3 linked regions of the Astyanax mexicanus genome follow. The protein of the gene in region 2 interacts with the protein of the main gene of each other region in a pairwise test. Links are inferred from orthologs where the notes say so. Each region holds a gene or a part of one and is shown on either strand. Other genes may lie near its edges. The genes, in order: kctd9a, ehhadh and actb1.

What was found.
Region 1: the proteins of ehhadh (region 2) and kctd9a interact in binary tests that used the Homo sapiens proteins (3 or more experiments, as listed by UniProt). The two-hybrid records come from large-scale screens. The link is inferred for Astyanax mexicanus from reciprocal best matches to the Homo sapiens genes EHHADH and KCTD9.
Region 3: the proteins of ehhadh (region 2) and actb1 interact in binary tests that used the Homo sapiens proteins (3 or more experiments, as listed by UniProt). The two-hybrid records come from large-scale screens. The link is inferred for Astyanax mexicanus from reciprocal best matches to the Homo sapiens genes EHHADH and ACTG1.

Annotation. Positions count from the first base shown.
Region 1 is NC_064419.1:25,585,108-25,593,262, reverse strand, and holds the start of kctd9a (BTB/POZ domain-containing protein KCTD9a), read right to left. Parts: upstream 5,562-8,155; 5' UTR 5,439-5,561; coding exon 5,391-5,438; intron 3,226-5,390; coding exon 3,104-3,225; intron 3,010-3,103; coding exon 2,966-3,009; intron 2,848-2,965; coding exon 2,751-2,847; intron 2,084-2,750; coding exon 2,025-2,083; intron 1,924-2,024; coding exon 1,795-1,923; intron 830-1,794; coding exon 762-829; intron 667-761; coding exon 571-666; intron 467-570; coding exon 317-466; intron 1-316. UniProt on the Homo sapiens protein: Substrate-specific adapter of a BCR (BTB-CUL3-RBX1) E3 ubiquitin-protein ligase complex, which mediates the ubiquitination of target proteins, leading to their degradation by the proteasome.
Region 2 is NC_064418.1:46,454,606-46,462,760, forward strand, and holds the start of ehhadh (peroxisomal bifunctional enzyme), read right to left. Parts: upstream 5,110-8,155; 5' UTR 4,915-5,109; coding exon 4,841-4,914; intron 3,428-4,840; coding exon 3,324-3,427; intron 2,332-3,323; coding exon 2,162-2,331; intron 673-2,161; coding exon 561-672; intron 1-560. Other genes in the region: tmem41aa (transmembrane protein 41A-A), read left to right, coding at 6,279-6,397, 6,955-7,105, 7,869-8,030. UniProt on the Homo sapiens protein: Peroxisomal trifunctional enzyme possessing 2-enoyl-CoA hydratase, 3-hydroxyacyl-CoA dehydrogenase, and delta 3, delta 2-enoyl-CoA isomerase activities. Catalyzes two of the four reactions of the long chain fatty acids peroxisomal beta-oxidation pathway.
Region 3 is NC_064428.1:16,853,326-16,861,480, forward strand, and holds actb1 (actin, cytoplasmic 1), read left to right. Parts: upstream 1-2,396; 5' UTR 2,397-2,538; intron 2,539-4,156; 5' UTR 4,157-4,158; coding exon 4,159-4,281; intron 4,282-4,398; coding exon 4,399-4,638; intron 4,639-5,019; coding exon 5,020-5,458; intron 5,459-5,556; coding exon 5,557-5,738; intron 5,739-5,831; coding exon 5,832-5,975; 3' UTR 5,976-6,504; downstream 6,505-8,155. UniProt on the Homo sapiens protein: Actins are highly conserved proteins that are involved in various types of cell motility and are ubiquitously expressed in all eukaryotic cells.

The sequences.
Region 1 (8,155 bases), on a different chromosome or scaffold from region 2:
CTTGCATGGAAGTGTGTGAGAATTATAAGTATTATAAGTGTATATTAACATTAAATACACTGCTGTTGTGTTATTAAATAATGATAATAATAATATTACTGTTACTGCCAGCTTGATTCTTCATGTAAACACCTATTTTTGCAACATTAGTACAAAGACAGTTTGGTTTAGTAAATTAAATGCTGGATTTTTTTTTTCCTTTTTATCTGATTAATAAAAAATAAATAAATAAATAAATAAAAAACACAACAGATTTATATGATTATCAAAATAATCTTTCGTTGCAGCCCTAGTTGAGATATAGCCAAATACATACATCCAGGTTTGCCCCAGAAAGGTCCGCCCTCTCCAGGTTGGAGCAGCATAGGTTTGCGTAGGTGAGATTACAGCGGCTCAAGTTAGCCATCTTGAAATTGATATAGCGCAGATCCAGTCTAGAAAGGTCCGCCCCACTGAAATTCAGACCCTGACAATTACAGAAAGAGAACAGAGATCACCAAAACATTCTGTTCAGACATCACACACTGTTACAAACACGTTACAAAAATGTTCATGTGTGAATGAATGTACCTGACAACGCAGTTCTGACTTGGTAGGCGTGGCCAGTAAAAACCGTACAAACTCTTTTCGGGAGATGGGAGAGTGATCCTCAGGAGGATGAGAGTTCTGCAAAAAATGGAACAACTCAAATTAGACACAATAAACAGGTAAAAAAAAAAAAAAAAAAAAGATTTACAGTCATAAAATGAACAATTCTTTACCTTAATTGCAACTTCCAGCTGTTCAGCAAGTTGCTCAATTCCAAAGAACCGAGCTTCTTCCAGTACGCCTGAAGATTAAGAATAAGATGAAACAAAAACACAAGCACTATTACAAAAATGAAAATCTCTACACTTTCCCCATGTTGGCTGATAGCCAATCTGTCTGAGAGAATGAGTGCAAGACATACTGCTAATTATGTTTGTAATCCGTCATTAGTGATGAAAACTACATCTACAGTTACATTTTTTAACAATGTTTCTTTGAAACCCGGAAAATGTAGACACATAATGCCAGAAATGGCAATGTTACATATGGCCCAATGGGTAAACCTCCATGTAACCTTTAAATCTATCACTTAGTCACATGTGAATATTAGAAAAAAATATATTGGAAATAATTATCTATTTATTTAGTAAAACAATAATATCAGACTAAACATAAATCAAATTCATACAAAACTGTGTTCATTAAAACATTTCCAAAGCACTCCTTATATGAGTCTAGTATTATTTCTTGTTCATAGAAATACCAGCTTTGGTAAATGAGTACCTTGTAATATTCAATCATTGTGGTGAGCTGGTAATGAAATGTAGGCACCTTAGGATTTAGAGGGCTCTGACGCCATTATAAAGTGATTTACTTAACGAAGTTATTAAGCAGTGGATGTAAATCTACACAAATCTGATCCAGCCTCGATGCTGAAGAGCTAGACTAAAACTCCTGTATTACGCTGCACTTCAGTAGAGTGGCTTTACTGCTTCTTACAACCTGACTGCTAAAATTCATAAATATGGCGCACTGGATTATGAGACGCACTGACGTTGAGACGGATTCTTTAGGAAAATTTAAGGATTTTAGGTGCGTCTTATAGTGCGAAAAATATGGTAATACAAAAATCTCAGATTAATGTTGTTAGGGTAACAATTAGGCAAGCCTGAGCCACAATATTAAAACCAGCTACAAGGAAAGCAGCTCAGAGGATGCATTGCTTATATTAGTCATTCTCAAATGAGATATGATGCACACACTAACCCAGCAAGTTGATTCCTTCATTGACAATAAGTTGACCATGTCGCAGGTAGTTTAGAATAGGCTCAAAGTACTCAGGACTGCGGTCAATGAGGTAGGCACCTCGCTCATCTTGCTTGTTGCCCCACACATCTGGAATACAGCAGAGAGAGAAATTTTAATATTTCATGAATAATTTAATACTGTCTGCAATGGACGAATATATCTGAATCGTTGTGTTATAAAATGCTCACCCTTTTCTCTAAACATATGAGCCAGCATGCTGTCCGGCTCCTTACTCACAAGAGTGCTCCTAAAGGGAGAAAAATAATAATGGATTTTATTAGCAATGCAGTTTTCATACATGTATATTATACATTTATATGTTTTGTTTTTTTTAACTGGAGAAACCAAAAACCTCATTGGATATCTTGAACATAAATGGTTGATTCAACCATTTATTTGATGAAAAACTGTGTATTTCACTTGGTCCAGATTTCAATCTACTATTGCAGATTTTATTTAGGTTACATACTGACGGTTCATAATAAATAAACTATTAATAAATAATAATAAAAATACAGTGATATACAGTGAAACCGCCAGAATCTTGCAAAATACCATGATATGCATTTTTGGTCATACCACCAAGCACTAATGGAGTCTCATCATTCTAGAGAGCACAGTTCTTCTACTGCTCCACAGCTCAATGCTAGTAGACTTTATACTAATCTAGGCCATGACTGACATTATGCAATGGTCAGGTATCAATAGGTTCTACTCCAGAGTTCTATTCTATTGGTAATGCTTCTCTACAGGACTCAAAGTTAAAGGAGTGTCCACAAACATTTGTAAATTAGTACTTATGGCTAGTCCAGCTAAAACAAAAATAATTGAAGCTTGTAACCGTTTTTTAACTATTCAAACACGGTTATAAACCCTTAAAACATCACCCAGCATCTTAAAAGAACTCTACTTGCCGTGTGGTCGTGAAGAGACGCCCACCAATATTTAAAGTCAACCAATCAGTGTGGCAGCTTGAAGAGTCCTCTGCAGCCTTTTCCTCAGTCTGAGGATCTGAAACACACCCAAACACAAACAAGTGTATACGTGCTCTGAGGACACTTTCATTGTTTCCCATGTGAGGTTTCAGGTATATGAGGAAATGACAAACTTAATCATGACACCAACTTACCGACAAAGGAGTCTCCCTCAGACACATATAACACATCATCATCTCTGCAAAACAGAGAGTCACACATGATTAATCTTTGTTGATTAAGGACAAACAATAAGTACCAGTACCAGGAACCTCCATCGGAACATAACTTACCTAATGAGGGCTATATCATCAATGAGGCCTCCCTTGCCATTGTACAGATTACTAGCCCTGATTCCCAGTTTATTGCTGGCAACGGATAAGAGATCCGACAGAGTGCCATATACTGCTACAACCTACAAGACAAAAAAAAGCAGAGGTCAGGATTACTGAAACAAACTAATGTTGGTTCAAACTGATGTGAACTGAAATTATCCAGCTCACTAAAGGTGTTTTTACACTTTAATGTCTGCACCAAGACTTGGGTCTTTGTTACATTGTGTACATTTGGTCCAGCTAGATTTGGTTTCACACTGCAGTTTAGTGAGCAAAGAATCATAGGAACATGCCAGAACTAAACCCACGTGTAAAGTAGCAATGCCAGAGAATCTCTAGAGAGGAGAATACCCACTTGAAGTGAGTCCAAGATGAACAGGTTCATATGAAGCAACTGAGCAAAATCAGAATTTATAAATATCTGAAAATCTCAACACAGTACGCTAGATTCTTTACTGCTTAAACCTGTTTGCTGTCGAACAATGGAAATATACAGGTACACTTTTTTTTGCTTATAACATTAAATAAAACTCAGAACAAGTAGTTATTACATATAATTTTAGTTTTTGACTTTTTTCCACCCCCATTGAGTTTCCTCTAGCGTTGAACAGTAACTTTCTGATATATTGGGGAAATATTGGGAAAGTGGTCAGACTCTGCATAAACAGCTCTGGCCATGCAGAAGGTTTGTTTTGGAGCCGTGGTTTTCTGTTTCTACATGATCCCTTTGGCTGTAGCAGTTTACACTACAAGACTACACAAACACCAAGTGGTCACCAACTTACCTCTGAGAAAGTTTTTTTTTTTTTTTTTGGTGGTGGTTTACAAAAAATAATCAGTTAACTTTAAAATATATTTTCACAATACAAGCCTTCATTAAATAAAATGAGGGGGAAGAATTTATATATACAATATAATAAGAATATAATTGATACGGTCACTATAAAGTAATGACATGTTTCATACTCATATTCATAATTTAAATAAATATCTTAAAGAAACGACAATGAAATATGTACAGGTGCTTCCATATCCAATGAAATATATTAACGGTTTTAATTAACATTTTCTCCTATTCAGGACAATATTATGCAGTCAGACCTTCTTTCAATCAGTGTTGTAAAGTTATAATATGACATTTCAGGGACATAATATCAATATATATGTGGGAAATTATAGATAGTAGTACTCATATTGCTATAAAAAACTAATGATAAATAAACTTTACACGTTACTGGTTGGTTAGTAGTTAGTTAGCTAGCTAGCTGGGTAATAAGTATACAGATCTGGAAAAAAAATAAAAGCACTTAAATAAATTTTGTTTCTTTGAAAACCTCTGGAACATAATCAAGAGAAAGATGAATGATGAATGCCATAAAAAAAAAAGCTGAACTGAATTTTTGCACAAGGAGTGACGTAAAGTTATCCAAAAGCAGTGTGCAAGACTGGTGGAGGAGAACATGCCAAGATGCATGAAAACTGTGATTAAAAACCAGGGTTATCCCACCAAATATTGATTTCTTGAACACTTAAAACTTTACGAATATAAAGCTGTTTTCTTTGCAGTATTTGAGGTCTGAAAGCTCTGCATCTTTTTTGTTGTCATTTCAGCCATTTCTCTTTTTCTGCGAATAAATCCTCTAAATGACAATATTTTTTATTTGGAATTTGGGAAAAATTTTGACTAAAATGTTGTCCGTAGTTTATAGAATAAAACAATAATGCTCATTTTACTCAAACATATACCTATAAATAGCAAAATCAGGTAAACTGATTCAGAAAATAAAGTGCTCTCTTAATTTTTTTTTTTCAGAGCTGTAGCTACCCAACTAGTTAGCTAAGCTATCTTAGATGGGCCTGACCATTAGATGCTATGTAACGTTATAGTCTTAAGCTTAGCTATGTTAAATTAATACACAATATAGCTATAATTACAAAATAAACACAAGTTTCACACCAACACGGGTCATGATTATCATTATTTACACAAATACCAGCTAAACACAACACTGTTAACATGATTTCCTCTATCTAAGACTAGCCATACATGCTAGCTAGCGCTAGCTAAGTTAGTTGAGCCAGCGGACTCAGAAAGTAAAAATCCGCTCCGGGATTTGAGCCGCAGCCGATCCGCCAAGACATTGAGAACAAAATCCCGGAGAGGATTTTTACTTTCTGAACTTGGATTTTGCACCTTTACACAAAAGTCATTCAACATCACTGTAACGAACTCTTCAATCCTCACCTTTCCATTTTTGGAGGAGCCGTTGACAAAAAGCGTGACTCTTCGCATTATTTGTTTAAGCTATAATTATGTACAATATTGAGTTTAATAAACAAAACTAGACCGATTTCTACAGCGAACTCATCCCACAGTTACTCAGTAACAGGCTAAACCAGATTCACACAGTGAAGCCAGAGCCCAGCTCACCCAGTCGCCGTCCAATCAGAGTGACGCTATTGTTACTAGCCTTGCGAACAGACCAATCACAGGACAGAGCTACACGTGTCGGCTCGCGAGACCAGCCAATCAGACACAATTGTGGTGTAGCTTCACTCATGAGGAATTTGCAAAGGGAAATAATTACCTCAGCGTGGCGTTTCTGGAGCTGTGGGAAGGTTTGCTAAAATAGCTTAAATTCACTGTAGGAAGCAGAACAGTAATAACAGTACAGCAGGGACACCATAGCTAGTCTGTCTAAACATACATATACTAGTAGAGAATATAGCTAGTATAGACTTAAAAATAGTAGTTATAGTCACTCACATCCACACTAAACCCTCCCCTCTCCCTCCGCTCTTCTGTGTGCTGCTGCAGCAGTTAACTACATACTCCACCTTTAGGTAAACCTGCAGGGAAGAATATTAGTTGTCAAATTGTATAAAACTTTGAAACTGACGCATGTATAGTTAGGTTTTTTTGTTTGTTATAGTTTTTATAGCCTTATATATTTTCTATTCTTCTGTGTTTTGATTTGGCTGAGTATGTTTCTTATTGTATTGTGTTGTTGCTGCTGGATGCCTAAATTTCCTTCGGGATAAATAAAGTATCTATCTATGTAAATACATAATTCCTGGTATTTGCATATTCAGGAGTATTTTATTCTAATGAGTAACACAGCTTGAAGTTTCAGAGAGAATTAGCACAGAACCACAGTATCTTAAAACCATTGTTATTTTGGTAATATCGTATCATGATGCACCCTGTGATTCCCACCCCTACCTTCAACCCTGATCTGCATTGTAAAGCGAAAGCAATGCTTGGAGCCTTTACCAAGCAGGGTTGAATGAAACTGTACAACCCCCCCCCCCCCCCTTTACACAAAACTAAACTGTACACCCCCCCCCCCCCCTCCCTTTACACTCACAAAGAACTGAACTTCACCCACACACACACCCAGTCAGCACACAGAGGCTGACATGACTTTATTTGCTGCACTCTTAAAAACTATAAACTCTACCTCAGTAACTGCTGTGATTATATATGTTCTATATGTTACAGTATGTCACACATCTCTGCACCTTATCCCCACTATACACTTTATTATACCGTATCGGTACTGCACTGTCCTGTCTTTAAATTGTCTCGTCTTTTGTATTTATTGTTATTTAGTGTTATAATTTTATAATTTTATGTTGCACTGTCGTCACTCCTGCATTTTATGTTGTCTATTGCTTGTTGTTCTATGTTGCACCATGGTTCCGGAGGAACGTAATTTCATCACACTGTGTACCTGTACTCAGATGTAATGACAATAAAAGCCTCTTGACTTGACTTGACATGAAACATAAAAGTTATATTTTGTTGGCATCTTAATTTAAAACAAACAGTTTCCCTATTGTTAAAAAAAACACTGACAGTTCTGTGTAGCCAGTGGCAGTCAGGCAAACTAGGTTTGGCACTTTTTTCTTGTGTTTATTATATGTACAAGAAAACATACAAGTTTTTATGTTTTTATGATTTTATTTAGCACTGCACTGAAAAGAGCCTCTTCTCCACTAGATGGCAGAAAAGGAAAACACTTTACTGCAGCCTCACAATTTAGATATTTTAGTAACATGGTGTTAAAGAAATGAGGACAACGGATCATCTTTGCTTATTTAACTAGTGTAATCTGGGCACATCCAGTAAGGCATTGGCTGCTATTTTAAACAGGCCATAAATCTTACTGAAGTTTACAGGTAGGTCCCAGTTTCCTGAGAGCTGTAAGTCTTATCTGTCAAAATTAGCCTACATGACATTGCAGCCATTTTAACAAACAAAGAAGACAAGTTCTAACTCATAAAGTTTTAAAGTGTTCAGAAATCAATATTTGGTGGAACAACCCTGTTTTTAATCACTATTTGGTGGAATAACCCTGTTTTTTAATCACAGTTTCCATGCATCTTGGCATGTTCTCCTCCACCAGTCTTACACACTGCTTTTGGATAAATTTATGCCACTCCTGGCAACTTCAAACAGTTTAGCTTGGTTTGATGGCTTGTGATCATCCATCTTCTTCTTAATTATATTCCAGAGCTTTTCAATTTGGTAAAATCAAAGAAACTCATCATTTTTAACCCTCCTGCTTTCCTCATATTTACTAACACTCTTAATTCTCTGGGTCAATACCCAGCCATTTAAAATTATGATTAAATTTGAATAAACATGTTACAAAAGTTTATTCACCCATTCTTTATGTTTAGCTGATGAATTACCAGATGTTCTAGCATTAATATAATGTTAGTATTATATAAGTATATATATAAATTAGTATTATATAAGTATTTTAAGTATTGTTTTGTTGAGTTTGGACCTTAAGTTAGACTACATTTAGAGGAAGATTATAAAACTGAATGTTACTGTGACCTTGACATTATTACCACACAAATATGTGTAAAATATTGATATTTCTTATGTTTTATGCAAATAAATAGCTTTAATAAAACATATATTGAAATAAAAAAAATTGAAACACTTTATTTTTTATGTATTGCCTTTGTCAAATTAAGAAAAGACGATAAATATTA
Region 2 (8,155 bases):
CTGTAATTCTACCTCCTTTATTTAAATGCAGCAGCTAGTGTAACCTCTGCTTATATTGTCACATTTTTATATCCCCACAGAATGCGGTTTTTATAAACGTTATTCAGCTCTATTCAAAAAAGGTGTGGTTATTGTAAAAGGGCTGGTTATGGGCTGGACCAATACCAGACCGTCAGCTCCGCTCCGCCCCGCTCTGCAGTCTGTGACCGCGAGGCAGCCCTCAGGGGCGGGGTTATTTAAATGAGTAGGCTGCTCTCCACAGTCTTTCTCCCTCCTCTGGTCTCTACTGCGCAGAATCAGGTGGCAGGATCGCCAACATGGAGGAAGATTTTGGCTTCACTTTCATTGAATAGACACGGCGTCCATCTATTTTACAGTCTCTGGTCTGAACATTCGTGTGGTGACCTTTCCCCTCACTACAGTGCTGCCCCCTAGTGGACAAACACTCTACACACTGTTCAATTCTGATTTCTGATTCCCACAGAGAGAGAGTGTGTGTGTGTGTGTGTGTGTGTGTGTGTGTGTGTGTGTGTGTGTGTGTGTGTGTGTGTGTGTGTGACCTGTAGTAATGAGCTCCAGGGCTGTAGGGATTCCGGTGAGTCGGGGTAAACGCTGTGTTCCTCCAGCAGCCGGGAGCAAACCCAGAGTGACCTCAGGAAGACCCATACGAGCCTAGAAACACACACACACACACACACACAAACACACACACACACACACACACACACACACACAGACACAGACACAAACACAGACGTGCATGCGTGCACACACGTGCATACACAACTGAGACACACTTTATATAATAATAATAAGCCTTTATATCAAAGGTGCACATCTAACACACATTAATTAACTGGGCCACAGTTCACTCTGTACACTCACACTCATTTTACTATACACTCTTTCACTCCTCTATATACTCTACACACTCACTCTCTCCACTACCCACTCTACACACTCTCTTTCACTCCTCTATATACTCTACACACTCACTCTCTCCACCATACACTCTACACACTCTCTTTCACTCCTCTATACACTCTACACACTCACTCTCTCCACTACACACTCTACACACTCTCTTTCACTCCTCTATACACTCTACACACTCACTCTCTCCACTACACACTCTACACACTCTCTTTCACTCCTCTATATACTCTACACACTCACTCTCTCCACTACACACTCTCTTTCACTCCTCTATATACTCTACACACTCACTCTCTCCACTACACACTCTACACACTCTCTTTCACTCCTCTATATACTCTACACACTCACTCTCTCCACCATACACTCTACACACTCTCTTTCACTCCTCTATATACTCTACACACTCACTCTCTCCACCATACACTCTACACACTCTCTTTCACTCCTCTATACACTCTACACACTCACTCTCTCCACCATACACTCTACACACTCACTCTCTTTCACTCCTCTATACACTTACTCCACTCTACACTCTCACCACACTCTACACACTCTCTTACTCTACTATACACTCTAAACACTCACTCCTCTATACACTCTACACACTCACTCCTCTATACACTCTACACACTCACTCCTCTATACACTCTACACACTCACTCTCTCCACTACCCACTCTAAACACTCTCTTTCACGCCTCTGTACACTCACTTACTCTTTATACACTCTACACACTCTCTCCCACTCCTTTATACACTCTATATACTCTCTCTCACTCTTCTCTACACTCCACTATACACTCTCTTGCTCTAACTATTATACACTCTTACTCCACTACACACTCTCTATCACTCCTCTTTATACTTCCTTTTTACACTCTACATTCTCACACACAACACACTCTTTCACTACACTCTCCCTCACTCCATTTTACACACACTCTCACTCCTCTCTGCACACTCTCACACCTCTCTCCACACTCTCACTCCTCTCTACACTCAACAAACTCAAATATATTTTTGTTTATGTTTACATTCACACCAGTTACTACAGTAGGTGAAAGGTGGGCTGGGATGGGGTTTATAATAAAAGGATGGGTAAAATGATAAAGGTCAGGTTAATATATCGTACAATAAATCAATAATGTGATAATTGTGACAGGCCTAATGTCTCCATCCATATATACATATTTCATCATCATCAGGTATCAGTAGTTTACCTTGGCGTGAGCCACACGGTAATGGCAGCCCAGTGCCAGCTCCAGCCCCCCTCCGAGCGCTATGCCCTCTATAGCCGCCACCACCGGCTTCTCCCCCGCCTCTATAGCGTGGATCATGGGCACCAGCGCCGGTCCAGACATGGGCTTAGCAAACTCCTTAATATCTGCTCCTGTTTAACAGCACACACACAGCACCACGTCTCAGTACATTAACCTAATATGTGAAAACTATATGAATATTGTTTTTCAAATATACAAGTACAGTATATGTGTTATATACGTTTATTATGCATACTATTATATAGGTACTATAAATATTATTTGTGTACTACATTGTGTATAGTATACTTTAAGACAAATATGCGTAGTATATGAAGTTATGTACTATATGAACTATTTTTTGTTTTTTGGGGTACTACAGGAGTTTTTTAGGAGTACTATAAATATTGTTATACATACTATTTGAGTAAGTATATACTTTAAGTATTATGTATACTAAATAAGTATTACACTGCTTTTTAGGAGTATTATGTGTACTATGGTAGTATCATGTGTAATATATGAATATACATGAACTATAGGTGTATTGTATGCATTTATAGGTTTATGTTTAAGTAAAATGAACATTGTTGTCTTATTCTATAAACTACAGACAACATTTCTCCCAAATTCCAAATAAAAATAGTGTCATTTAGAGCATTTATTTGCAGAAAATGAGAAATGTCTGCAATAAGATACAAGAGGCAGAACTTTCAAACCTCAAATAATGCAAAGAAAACATGTTTATATTCATAAAGTTTTAAGAGTTAAGAAATCATCATTTAAATATAAAATAACCCTGGTTTTTAATCACGGTTTTCATGCATCTTGACATGTTCTCCACCAGTCTTACACACTGCTTTTGGATAACTTTATGCTGCTTTACTCCTGGTGCAAATATTCAAGCAGTTCAGCTTGGTTTGATGTGTACTATATCAGTATTATATATTAACTCTGCAAGTACATATACTGTATGAACTATATGTGTGCTACATAAGTACTATGTAATGTACTCTTAATAAGTATTGTCTGTACCACATGTGTACTATGTGAGTACTCTATGTGTACCATTTGTGAGTTCTTTGTGTGTGCTGGTATTATGGGTGTGTTTGAGTGTGTTTACCTCCACAGAATTGTCCATTTTCCCCACACAGCACCACAGCCTTCACCTGTGTGTCGTTGAGCGCTCTGGAAACAGTCTCAGTGATGCCCTTCCTCACTGCAGAGCTAAAACCATGAGATACAGAGAGAAAAACATTCACATATTAACATTTTACACCTCTCTAATCAGCTCAAATATATGAGAACATGGATTTTATACACTGTGTGCATGGAGTCACAGTTACTGAAGCACTGGTCACTGCATGACTGTCTAAAACACTGTTCACTGTTATTGATGTGTAGTGATTATTAAATATTATTGAGGTCGTGTCCATTAATTGTACGATAATTCTATAATGTAATTTTCACCACTCTCTTGTTAGATTCCACTGTTCTGATTGGATAAAAAGTAAACTTTTCTTTAAATCAGATTTTATAAATACTGTATGATATTGTGTTTATTACACTGTAAAATATATTTTTAAGAACTTTATTTAAACAATACATTTAAGCAATATATTATCGCTGTTTATAGTATCGCAATATGATTTAAAACATATCGTATGGCCACTTTGAGGTAGTGCTGGGCGATATGGGAAAAATCATATATCACGATATTGAATTGTTTATATCACGATAACGATATATATCATGATATACCACATTTAAGTATGTTTTCAGTTATTCTTCGAAAAATATGACAAAATAACATCATTGCTTCCTTTTTTCCAACTTTATTTCAACGTGACAATAAATCAAACTTTCACAAATGAGAATTACTACCTTTTAGTGCAGCAATATATATGTATCAAATGAAAACAGATGAGGTAGATGCAGTAGCTGTTTTCTTTTATTATACAGGTATTTAAATTGAGCTATCAAAATAAACTCAATTACCATTTTTAAAGTGTCTGTCAAATAACGTAAAGCAGCGTCATGTTGCAAAACCACATTATGAAGCTTTTTTGCAAAGATTATTCAATTATCACTTATATAAACCGAGTTTATGCAACGTGACCAAGCCAATACATTTCATCGTAGCCTACTTTATATATTTGCATGAATAATTGATTAAATTACTGTAGAAACGATAGGGCTGATAGAAGGTAAGTAGCATGATAGACACTTTTCTATCATTCCCACGATATTTATCGACATATCGCACAGCATTACTTTGAGGGTTATTATAACTGGTCCACCTGACCAAGCAGATTAACCACCATGGCTACCAGCATTACCAAAATCAAATGCTAACTTATATACTATTTTCATCAAGTATATGGCGTGTTTTCACCTGAAAGACGAGCTTAGACCATCTTAAAAATCTACAAATTGTGGTCAGTTGCAGGAGAGCACACAACTGTGCAGGTACAGACTGTCTGCAAAGTACTGATTACTTTTATTCTTAAATCAGCATGTGCACTATTATTTATATCAATGTAGTACATCTTCTATTATTACAGTAAATGCAAAACTTGCAATCTTACAGGTGAACAGAGTCCCAGACTAGAGTTAAGTCTGCATGACTGCAGGACTCACCTGAGGGCGTTCACAGGTGGGTTAGTGAGAGTGATCAATGCGATCGATCCCTTAGTTCTTGCATATTGAGCCATAGCTGATCAATACAGCTCAGACAGTGGAGCTAGTTCAGCTGAATGGAGCTGGAATAAAGATCTGGAGCTTCTGCAGGACTTCTGCAGGACTTTGATCCTGAGGTCACTGATATTCAGGGCTGTTTTTAATCCAGGAAAGTGGAACAAAAGTCACAGTCATGCTGGAACTGCTGGTTGGAGTTTAACAGCAGGGCTGGAGGGGGCGGAGCCGCATGAAAGCCATAATAACACAGGTAAACCCGCAGAGTTAAGAATAGCTTCTTATTATCGGGCTGTTTCCACTGTAGGAAAATAATAAATGAGTCGCTAATACACATATTACGGTAAACAGACTGGCGCTGTCAAACCGAGGCTCTGTCCCAAATCGCTCCCTGCTCTCTACACCCTATACAAGTGACAATCACATTGGAACAAATTAAATAAATAAAAGTTAAGTAATTGCATTAAATTGCATAAAGAATGACATAATATACACCTATATAATTATAATAGTGCACAGATCAGAACCAATAAAAAATAAATAATTTAAAATAATCAAAATATAATAATAAAAAGGTAAACAAAAAAAAGCAAATACAAAAATAAAATATTAAATTTACAATTAATAAGACAATAAACAGGTGAAACAAGGACAGCACCGCAGAGAAAATGAAAAAAGTGTATATTTTTATAATAAATAAATTATTATTAAAAATGAATTAAAAAATCAAACAAATTAAATTAAAATAAAATTAAAATAATGTCAAATTAGGTGGATGGTGCATGATAGCTATGGAAAATGCACGTTTATATAATTATTATTTAACAATAAAATACCAATATACCACCATCATTTAAAGAGAATATTTAGTGTATATATTTGTTAAGTTAAATACATGATTTGGAACAAGTGCTTAACCTGATTTTTTTGTGTGTGTTTAACTTAGAAGTAATGTTTGATATAGGTTTATGTATGTATTTGTTTTATATTGTTGTATTATTTCTTGGCATTTTAAGCTTTTGTTAACATTAATTCCACAACTGGTTTTCTTTTTTATTATTATTTAAACACTTATTTTAATTAGTGAAATTATTTTTTCTAATTAGAAATCAAATATATAATGGAATAAAGTATAAAGTTAATAGGATTATTAGTACTAAAGCATTCGTTTAGTTAATACTCGTATTTGTGTTGTTGCAGCTTTGGTTTTTAATACACGTCTATATGTATTTCATAACAATAAGGCAGGAAGTGAACGTGATCAAATTGGGACGCGGCCGCCACAGCAGAATACTGGAATCTGGTTGGCTCCTGAGAACCACGTGACCCTCCCACGGTCCCTCCGCTGTTGTGGTCTCTCCGCTGCTGCTGCTGTGGTTCCGACATGCGGTCTGTGCTGGGTTTGGGTCTGGTTCTGCTGCTGTCCTCCGTTTACCTGTACCTGCTGTCCGCTCACCTGCCCTCAGCTCACCTGGGTGATGGGGAACCAGAAGCGGGAACCGGGTAGGAACGGTAGCCTTAACATGCTGCCACAATGATTGGAATTGTCCGTTCCACCTTAAATGGTGCAGCGTATACACAGTGTAACTGCTGGATCAGCTGCAGCTGTTACAGTGTAAGTGCTACACTATTTAAGGTGGAAAGGACAATTCCAGTCATTGGGGTACCATATATGAAGCTAAATATTTTCTGCTGTAATAAATGAAAAATATGAATCATATTGTTTATATAATATTATGAATTAGTTGAATTCTAACTTTTTTTTCAACTCATAACATGTCTTGTCAAAAAACAATACTCATGCTAAATCTGGAGGTCATTATAAACGTCCTCAACCACCACCTCAAAAAAAAAAACTTTATTTTCCGAATATGGCTTCATTAGGATTATGAATTTGATTTATGACTAGGCATGTGTATATTAGTACATTAGGGCATAATTCAGAATATTATACTGTTGACATTTCAATACAGGCCATATTGACTACAGATCTCCTATAATAATCCATATAATAACTATCGGTGTGTGTGTGCGTGCATGCCTGTGTGTGTGTGTTCCAGGCTGAAGTTCCCGTCTGATCTAGAGGAGCTTCGGGAGCAGGCGGCTCTGCTGAGGCACTATCAGCAGGAACACAGTGGATATGTTCTGCTGCTGTTCTGCAGCGCCTACATCTACAAACAGGCCTTCGCCATCCCCGGATCCTCCCTGCTGGTACTGCCCTACTACACTAAGAACCACACACACACTCCCACACTCTCCCTCGATTAAAGCGATAGTTCAGTTTACCCACCCCTCTTCCCAACATCCTGCAGAGCTTCCAACTGGCATTTTCCAGCAGGATAATGCTGACCCACACACATCAAATGTATCTTAGCAATGGGAATGCTAAATTCAGCAACCTACAAGAGTAAAGCAGGATCTACAGGTCCAGCTGCAACATCTGTGGGTAAATCTGTGTGCTGCAGGATGCCATACAGGACCTGCATACCTCCATTCTCAACTGTATCTTATCTTGTACCCAGGCTAGAGACACTAACAGGATACTCAACAAGTCCTTATTTCACTTACATACATCATTATTACATTCACACATATAAGCTTCATTCTACTCTAATTTTGTCAATGAGTAAAATTATAAACTATAAAATTGTCCTATAAAAAGTCCTTAGATATTAAGGTACCACTTTAAAAGTACTAATTAGTAACCATTAATAAACTAATTGTAAACCATTTATAAAGCCTTTATAAAGGCAGTCTTTTTTTTAAAAGTGGTACCGATATTAATCAGTAATAACAGTCATCATGTGCAGCCTTAATAGTAGTTCTGTCAGTAGAGCCTGTATTTCACTGTAAGGACTAGCTGAGGAATCTGACCCAAATTCTTACTGGGTAAGCTTCTATTCTTCTTAAGTATTCATAACCCCCCTAACTCTCTGCTCTGAGGTTTTTTAATGTGTGTTTTTGTGTTGTTCAGAATATCCTGGCGGGGGCGCTGTTTGGACCCTGGCTGGGTCTGCTGCTGGCCTGTGTTCTGACCACTGTAGGGGCCACACTCTGCTTCCTGCTCTCACAGGCGTTCGGAAAACAGCACATCGTCCGGCTCTTCCCTGTCAAAGTTACTCTGCTGCAGAGAAAAGTGGGTATTTTTTTCCATTTTATTAAAAACCTAAAAAAAAAAAAAAAAAATCTAATATTATAATATAACTGCTATTTACACTATGACTCAAATTCCATACTATCCAGAAAAAATCTAAACCCAGA
Region 3 (8,155 bases), on a different chromosome or scaffold from region 2:
AGAACATGTTGCATAAATTAATGATGGGTTATTCATTTTAAAGTTGCTAGGGAAAGAAAACTAAAGAAAACAGAAATTCTTAAATAATACATTCAGAGGATAACGCACTTAAAAATGCATTAAGGAAGATTGCCACAAATTGTCTCCTTCACAAAGTGCTTCCAGCCAGTGACTGTCCAGAGCTTTGGTCATGTTTGGGCATGGCCACTTATCTATGTCATTTATCAGGATTGAGAAGCTGAATTTTTAACAGGCTGCATTCAGACATTCCACACATAGCACGACCACCAAGCCTTGTGTGGTATTACACAAAGACAAATAGTTTAAGACATCTAATTACTCCATTAAAGCATGTTAAGCTTTGTTAATTTTTTAAAGTGTAATTTAATATGAACGCTTTATTGAACTCTTTTATATCACTGGTGTATAATGGGTCAGTTAGGAACCTCACTAAAAAAACATCCACTATAGCAAAGCAGGGGTCACACACTGAGGCCCAGCCAACTGAAAAGCAGTGCTGATTGGCTGCTGGAATCATGTGACCAGCCTAAGGGCATGGATTGTCTGGACTAGCATCTCTTGAAAATCCTTTTCGTCTCTTGTGGACAAACTCATATGGTAAGTATTACTGTGGCTGATTCGACAGTAGTCTGCTCAAATGTGTGCTTTTTTCTTGCGCACAGAAAATGTAAAAATGGTAATGTTAAATAATCGTCTTTCTACATTTTTTTCTGATAGAACCACATGAGCAAGGGGTTACTTTGGAAAACCTTTGTCAAGCACTACAATACAGAGTTACTACATTCACATAAACCACTTACTTAAAAAAATTGCTGAGCTTAAAGGCATCTGGGACAGACTCCCACGTAATGAACATATCTTTGGTTTGAAAATTATATATTATGCCATTTACAAATAAATAGTATATGACAGTGTAATATTAGCTTGATTGAGTATCAATTTTAATAATGTTTGGAATGTTTAAATGTTTCCATTACTTAGTGTTTGTTTGAATGCAGTGCAATGCAAACCATTATTAGGTCACGTATGTCTTTAGAAGGTTTATAGAACTTTATATTTCTTAGGACCTGGTACTCATTTTAAATTAAAGCAATATATCAATAAGATGAATGCATTTTAAATTCATCCCAAAAAAGCCATGTGGAGAAAAGGCAGGCTTTGCTATGGAGGTGGACACACCCACCAGTAAAACAGTAACAATATGTCCACTAACTATAAAAGGCTAAGGACTGAGAATTTTCAAATAATAGCTAATAGAAAGGTCTAATCTTCTGTGATCTTTATAATTGCTGATGCTTGCTTGGCCATCACTCCAATGCATAATAATGTATTTTTTCTAAACATTATTAAGATACCAGCAGTGCATTAATTGTGTGTTTGTGTGTGTGTGTGTGTGTATGGACTGTGCATTAGACAGCAGGTCTTATCCTCTTGCAAATGAGTGCAAGCAGCCACGCCCACGTATTTCAAATCCCAAACTGACCCATATCAGAGACAATGCTGCAGGCAGGCCTGTGTGAATGCCTTTGTTGCACTGTATAGAGCCTGAAAGGCTGAAAAGCACTGCTTAGCTCAAAATAACCCAAAAGAGCTTCACTGCATGAGCTGGTTAGCTGGACGAGCTGCATGTTTTGATGGGACTTTCAGATTAGTGAACCTTTTAGCTAAAGATAAACAAACAGTAAACACATGTGTGAACTTCTTGTAACTGTGGGTCTACAATGATAAAGAATATTAACTAACTAACTTTTATTTCCTGTGGGTACTGGACAGCTATGTGGCTACTATTACAAAATAAAAAAAAGTGATATCTAGATTAGATAACTAACATTAAACATATGGATGGCATAATGTATACCCCAGGTTCCCCTAGGCCTGAGGCTGGCAACATTAACAGTATAAAAATGTTGGCCAACTAACAATTATAAACATAAACGTTGCTCTCTAAACATGTAATATAGTAAAAATGTATAGTAATGTTGATTTCAGTGATTTAATGTAATATATGGTCCATTTCACTCACAGCTCTGTAGTTGCAGTCATATAAATAGATAGATGGCTAAATAGTGAGACTGCAAATTTTTTCAGCCTTTGCTAAGGTTAAAAGGCATGGTCTTTAACATATGTCTTTTTTAAAGTATTCTAGTGTAAAGTTGGCCTAAAACATGTCACCTAAATCATATATTTATTATTAATACATATAAACATAAATATACCGCCTACTTCTGTCACAAATCGTGCTATTTTTCACAGTGTATTTAATAATGCCTCTCCTCACTGCACTTCTGCATCTCACAACTTGAATTTCAAGCAATAAGCTTGAAACACGCCAACTGGGTGACGGCTGGCCAATCAGATCGCTCGAAGCCGAAACGTTACCATATATGGAAGGAGCCGGCCACCGCGCCGGGTATAAAAACTTCAGCCCTCATTATACAGGCTACTCCGAGTTTTCAGTGCACCCGGACAGGAGCAGTTTCTCCCCCTTTTGGTTCCCTGCAAACCGATAAAACACAGGTAAGCAGCTTTTTGTTTGCCGGCTAATACGTTGTAACAACTTGCTACAGCTTATTTGTATATTTTATTTAGACGACTATGTACATTTTTAGGTGGTAAAATTATGTTAGAGAATCACCTTTCTTTGAATGTGAACGCCTAGCTGGCTTAGCTGACCTAACTCCAGCTTTGAGTAACGCCTTGTTCATGAATTTGTTCTGTTATTTTAAATTAAGCTGTTTGACTAGCTAACGTTTTATGTATAGTTAGCTGGTTAACTGACTATCTAAAGGATTAAGTTACAGATTAGCGTTATAAGCTTGTAAATTAACTACCTCGCGTTAACTCGAACCCTTTTGTCTGATGTGTCGAGGTGGCTGACCGTTAGCTTGTATAAGCTAGCTAGCTAAGGTTAGCCCCTCGGGTTAGTCTGCAGCTTCAGTGCATTAAGCCAACTTTGGTCAGCCTAATTAGCTAATGCTAAGCTAGATAACTGCTTTCTATTTTCTAAGTCCTTTAATAAATCATGTATAATTACAGGTTTAGCTAGCTTAACTTTTCGTCCTTTAGCAGAAGTGTTGGCTAGGATAGCTGGGTCACTTCATGCCTTGGTTCTTCTAGTGTAGCACCGTTCTGTTTCAATGGTGGGTGTGGCCACCTCCTTCAGAGGGGAAGCCGGCATCTCCTAGCCTTTTCTTTGAATGAAGGAACTTAACCCTCAAACATGATTTATATATGTTGAGAAAAAAAAACAGCCCCTTCCTTTTTTTTTTAGTAACTTTAGTGGGTCTCTTTTTTTTTCTTTTTTTTTTTTTATTTTTTTTTTTATTATTAATCAAACCCTCTGGGAGCAACTGATTCTGCATGATTGCCTTGTGTTTTGAGAGAATAATGTTCTCCTGTTAGGAAACAACAGCCAAAAAAGACTTTAAAATAGGCCTTTAAATATTTTTTACATATTAAACTGAGGGACGGTGTAAAATCACGTGGTTTGTTGCCTGAGGAAAATCGCTGCCATGCCATAGAGGGTTAAGATAAAGCTTTTTTTTTTTTTTTTTTTTTTTTTTTTTTTTTTTGGACTTGGCAGTGTAGTTTTTAAAGCTGGCCAGGGTTTTTAAGTGTTAATTGGACGCTGAGTTCTAATTTGACTTAACTGAATTAAATTGTGCAGACCAGGCATCTTCCCTTTTTTCTTGTTTTATAAATCTATAAAATAAAACTATGTAGTCTTGGAACCTAATGTACGTTTAATCTGATACTTAAAGATTAAACTAAACTGAGGTTATGCTTGATTGCAGTAAAAGCTTTAGCTTTAACTAGAGAAGGAGGCATATTTCACGTTTGGGATTGTGTAACAATCAGGTTGTTGAAATGGGGAGTGGTCCTGGATGTGCTGGTCTCGTTCTGTAAGCTGAATCGGCAATGGTGAGCAGGCCGAACTTATTGCCTTATAAGGCAATAGTGAGTCTGCCCTGCCACTTCCTTTGTCTCAAATCACTAGGTTTAGGGATGGCGCCTTTGCGCCACCTACTGGCCAACCATAAGCATTACTTCAGAGTGTTTGAGCTTTCAGTGATCTAAGCATGTTTAAGTTGCTGGAGGTGTGTTTCTTAATCCCCTTTTCTCCTTTTTTACACAGCCATGGATGAGGAAATCGCTGCTCTGGTTGTTGACAATGGCTCTGGTATGTGCAAAGCTGGTTTCGCTGGAGATGATGCTCCTCGTGCCGTCTTCCCTTCCATTGTTGGCCGACCCAGGCATCAGGTATGTTGTGCCTTAACAATCTTATTTTGACCAATTTCAATGTGGTGTTTACAAAGGTTTTTTTAAGCTAAATTTTTCAAATTTTAAGAAGTGTTTTTTTTTTTTTTTCTCTCTTAGGGTGTCATGGTAGGCATGGGTCAGAAGGATTCCTATGTGGGAGATGAGGCTCAGAGCAAGAGAGGTATCCTCACCCTGAAGTACCCCATTGAACACGGTATTGTCACAAACTGGGATGACATGGAGAAGATCTGGCACCACACCTTCTACAATGAGCTGCGTGTTGCCCCAGAGGAGCACCCAGTCCTTCTCACAGAGGCTCCCCTGAACCCTAAAGCCAACAGGGAAAAGATGACACAGGTATGCATGCCTTTTGCTAGATCTATCATTGGTAAATAGTAGGCTTTCTGTTTCTCTTCTGTTCATATTTTCATTTCTGTATCTTCCTTCTCAGGCTTTCCATTCTTTGACCTGATCATATTTTCCTTCATATGTAGAAGTCACAGGTTAATTTTATTTCCCCCTCTGCTTGAGATTTACTGCATGAATTGCAGTGTCTTTATCTTAATTTCTTTTCTGGACATCTGTTGCATGATTTTATGTACTAATGACACTTAAGCCTTTGCATTAAAACATTTACTTCCTAATCCTTTTAACTCAGCATACATAGTTTGAAGGGTTAAAAATCTCGTTATGATGCCAGATCAGTAAGTTAAATTTTTCTGTTTTTGTAAATTACAGATCATGTTCGAGACCTTCAACACACCCGCCATGTACGTCGCCATCCAGGCTGTGCTGTCACTGTACGCTTCTGGTCGTACCACAGGTATCGTGATGGATTCCGGTGATGGTGTTACCCACACCGTACCCATCTACGAAGGTTATGCTCTCCCCCATGCCATTCTCCGTCTGGATCTGGCTGGGCGTGATCTGACCGACTACCTGATGAAGATCCTGACAGAGCGTGGTTACAGCTTCACCACAACAGCTGAGAGGGAAATTGTCCGTGACATCAAGGAGAAATTGTGCTATGTGGCTCTGGACTTCGAGCAGGAGATGGGCACTGCTGCTTCATCTTCCTCTCTGGAGAAGAGCTACGAGCTGCCTGATGGTCAGGTCATCACCATTGGCAATGAGCGTTTCCGCTGCCCTGAGGCCCTCTTCCAGCCTTCCTTCTTGGGTAAGTCTTATGGTTCTCAGTTAAATTAAAAAAAAAAAATCCTTAAACACTTAAATTAGAAAAGGGTTTTAATGGAAACTTGTTTCTCTGCATGATAGGAATGGAATCCTGCGGTATCCACGAGACCACCTTCAACTCAATCATGAAGTGTGACGTTGACATCCGTAAGGACCTGTATGCCAACACAGTGCTGTCTGGTGGTACCACCATGTACCCTGGCATTGCTGACCGTATGCAGAAGGAGATCACCTCCCTTGCACCCTCAACTATGAAGATTAAGGTAATTAATTGCATTAGTGTTGAGAAACCACCTGGTACAGGTTATCAATCTTTCAGTGCATGTCTAATTTTCTTTCTCCCCCCTCTTCTGTAGATCATTGCTCCTCCTGAGCGTAAATACTCTGTATGGATCGGTGGCTCCATCTTGGCCTCCCTGTCCACCTTCCAGCAGATGTGGATCAGCAAGCAGGAGTATGATGAGTCTGGCCCTTCCATTGTCCACAGGAAGTGCTTCTAAATGGGACTAAACCACCTCAGCCAGCCATGTGGCTGGCTGATCCTAAAAGAACGACCAACCTTCCCCTCTCAGACAAGACAACATGGGCATGGCTTCTGCTCCGTATGGCGTGCTGCCTCGGTATGAGCAAACTGGAAAGGGGGGTGGTGTCTTACGGGGGAGGAGCTTTCCCCAAGAGGACTCAATGTACATTTCTTCTTTGTCATTCCAAATAGTGTCATGTTTTAATACAGCATCCACCACTTTGCCCCATGTCACAGTGGGAACACATGACCTTGTTAGTGTTGCTTATGTAAATTAAGTACTCTATTACAATGTCTGGTTTTGTTTTTGTACTTCAGCCTTAAACTCGTTCCAGTTCTGTTTGTTATGCAATGGAAGGGAAAAGCTTTACCCATTTGAGTGAAGATCTTGCAGGAGAACTTCCCTGGGGTTTGTGGGTAAGGGGACCACCTGTGGCATGTGAGCCTAGGAGTCTCTACACTGACATGTTGAACCCAATAAAATGTGCACATGTAAAACTCAACAACAGAGTGCTTTCTTTATTTTTTTCCCCCTCAATCACAATGTTTATCTTGCTGCATGGTTAATTAAACTAATGGTATTGAAGCTGTGGTCATAGCTGGCTTCTGTATTATATAATTACAGCAGAAACAAATCTCTACTCTGGCTTGTTAAATTTTAGCTATCATTTACTATTTACAGCTGTGTTCAAATTCCATTTCCACTATTATCACACATTCTGTGCTCTACATATTTGCCCAATATGAAATGTTTATCATGAACACTTGTTCCCAACAAGCTAGTATACCATCTCACATGAAAGGGTTCTTATCCCCCTGATATCCCTTAAATGAATCAATTGATTTGTAATGCTTAAGTTTTAAACATAAACAGCTTGGCCTGAAAAAAGCAGTGCATGTTGAAGTAGAAGTACGTAGCTCTTTTTATCAGAAAATTTACTTTTAAGTCCTGGTTTACTTGCCTTTTTTGTGGCAAGTTCCTAATTATTCAAAATTAACCATTATCAGAGGTTGAAGCTTAAGTCCCTAAAGGGAAACTAACGTGGATGTGGCCAAAATTTACATCAATAATTTTGTTTCAGTTAATGCTAAAACGGTATTGCTATGTATAGTATAAAAGCCACTGCCCTTGCTGAATTTAATCACTCACTGAGCGGGATAGTATAGCACAATATATCAGTATTTAAACACAATATTATGATTAACTACAGGTGGGGGCAGAAGGTGATCAAATTGGCCCTCTGAAGTGCCCCTCTCCTGTCACTCATCTGACCTTTGCCTTATAGGTGGATGCTATAGGTGGAACACTAGTGGTGCTAATGAGCCAATTTGGAATGTCCAGTGTGATTAGTTTATGCAGGAGTGATGTTTCAAACTGAGTTTGTGAAAAAGATTTATTTTTTTTTATTATAAAAAGCTGGATTTTTTCACATGCTGTGTGGTTGAGTATTTGGTCTATGTACAGTAAAAAGTAATTTAAAATACACATGCAGATAATATACATATAAAAGCAAAATCCACAAAACCAAGAAATAAAATGAAAGACTGGCACAATCAAATTGCAGATTCTTGATTCTTAAAATTTTGACTGCAGATGTTTGTGTGTAAAACATTTGGTACAAAATTAATTCCATATATTTTACTGTGTAAGCATTTTAAATTGCTTTCAAATGTTTGAACTTGTTGTGACTAGTGAAATAATATTGGGCCCTGTATGAATATTGTGGCCCCTTGATGGGCTCTTAAAAAATCCTAGATCCACCACTGTGATGCACAGTATTTCTTGTGTTTTACTCACAGACAAAATGCACCAGGAGTGGCTGATTCTTAAACTCACGTTCAAATAATCTTTCATGCATAATACATGATTTATATTATGTTTCCTGCATATCATCCAATTTAATATTTTTTACACACTGTAATTGTACAGTTGGATCTGTGTTCTTTAGACAGTGATAATATACTCAATAAGAATAATGTTGATACAATAATAACATAATTTATTTTCCAGCTCTAGATTGTCTAAATACGTAAAGTAGCTAAGGTAAAGTTTGTTCAGTAAAGTATGTATGGTTTTGGATGTTTCTGTATGGTTTGGGGTATGTGTGAGTCGACTCCCAAGTGCTGTAGAGTAAAGCAGAGAGAGGTAAGTCAGGT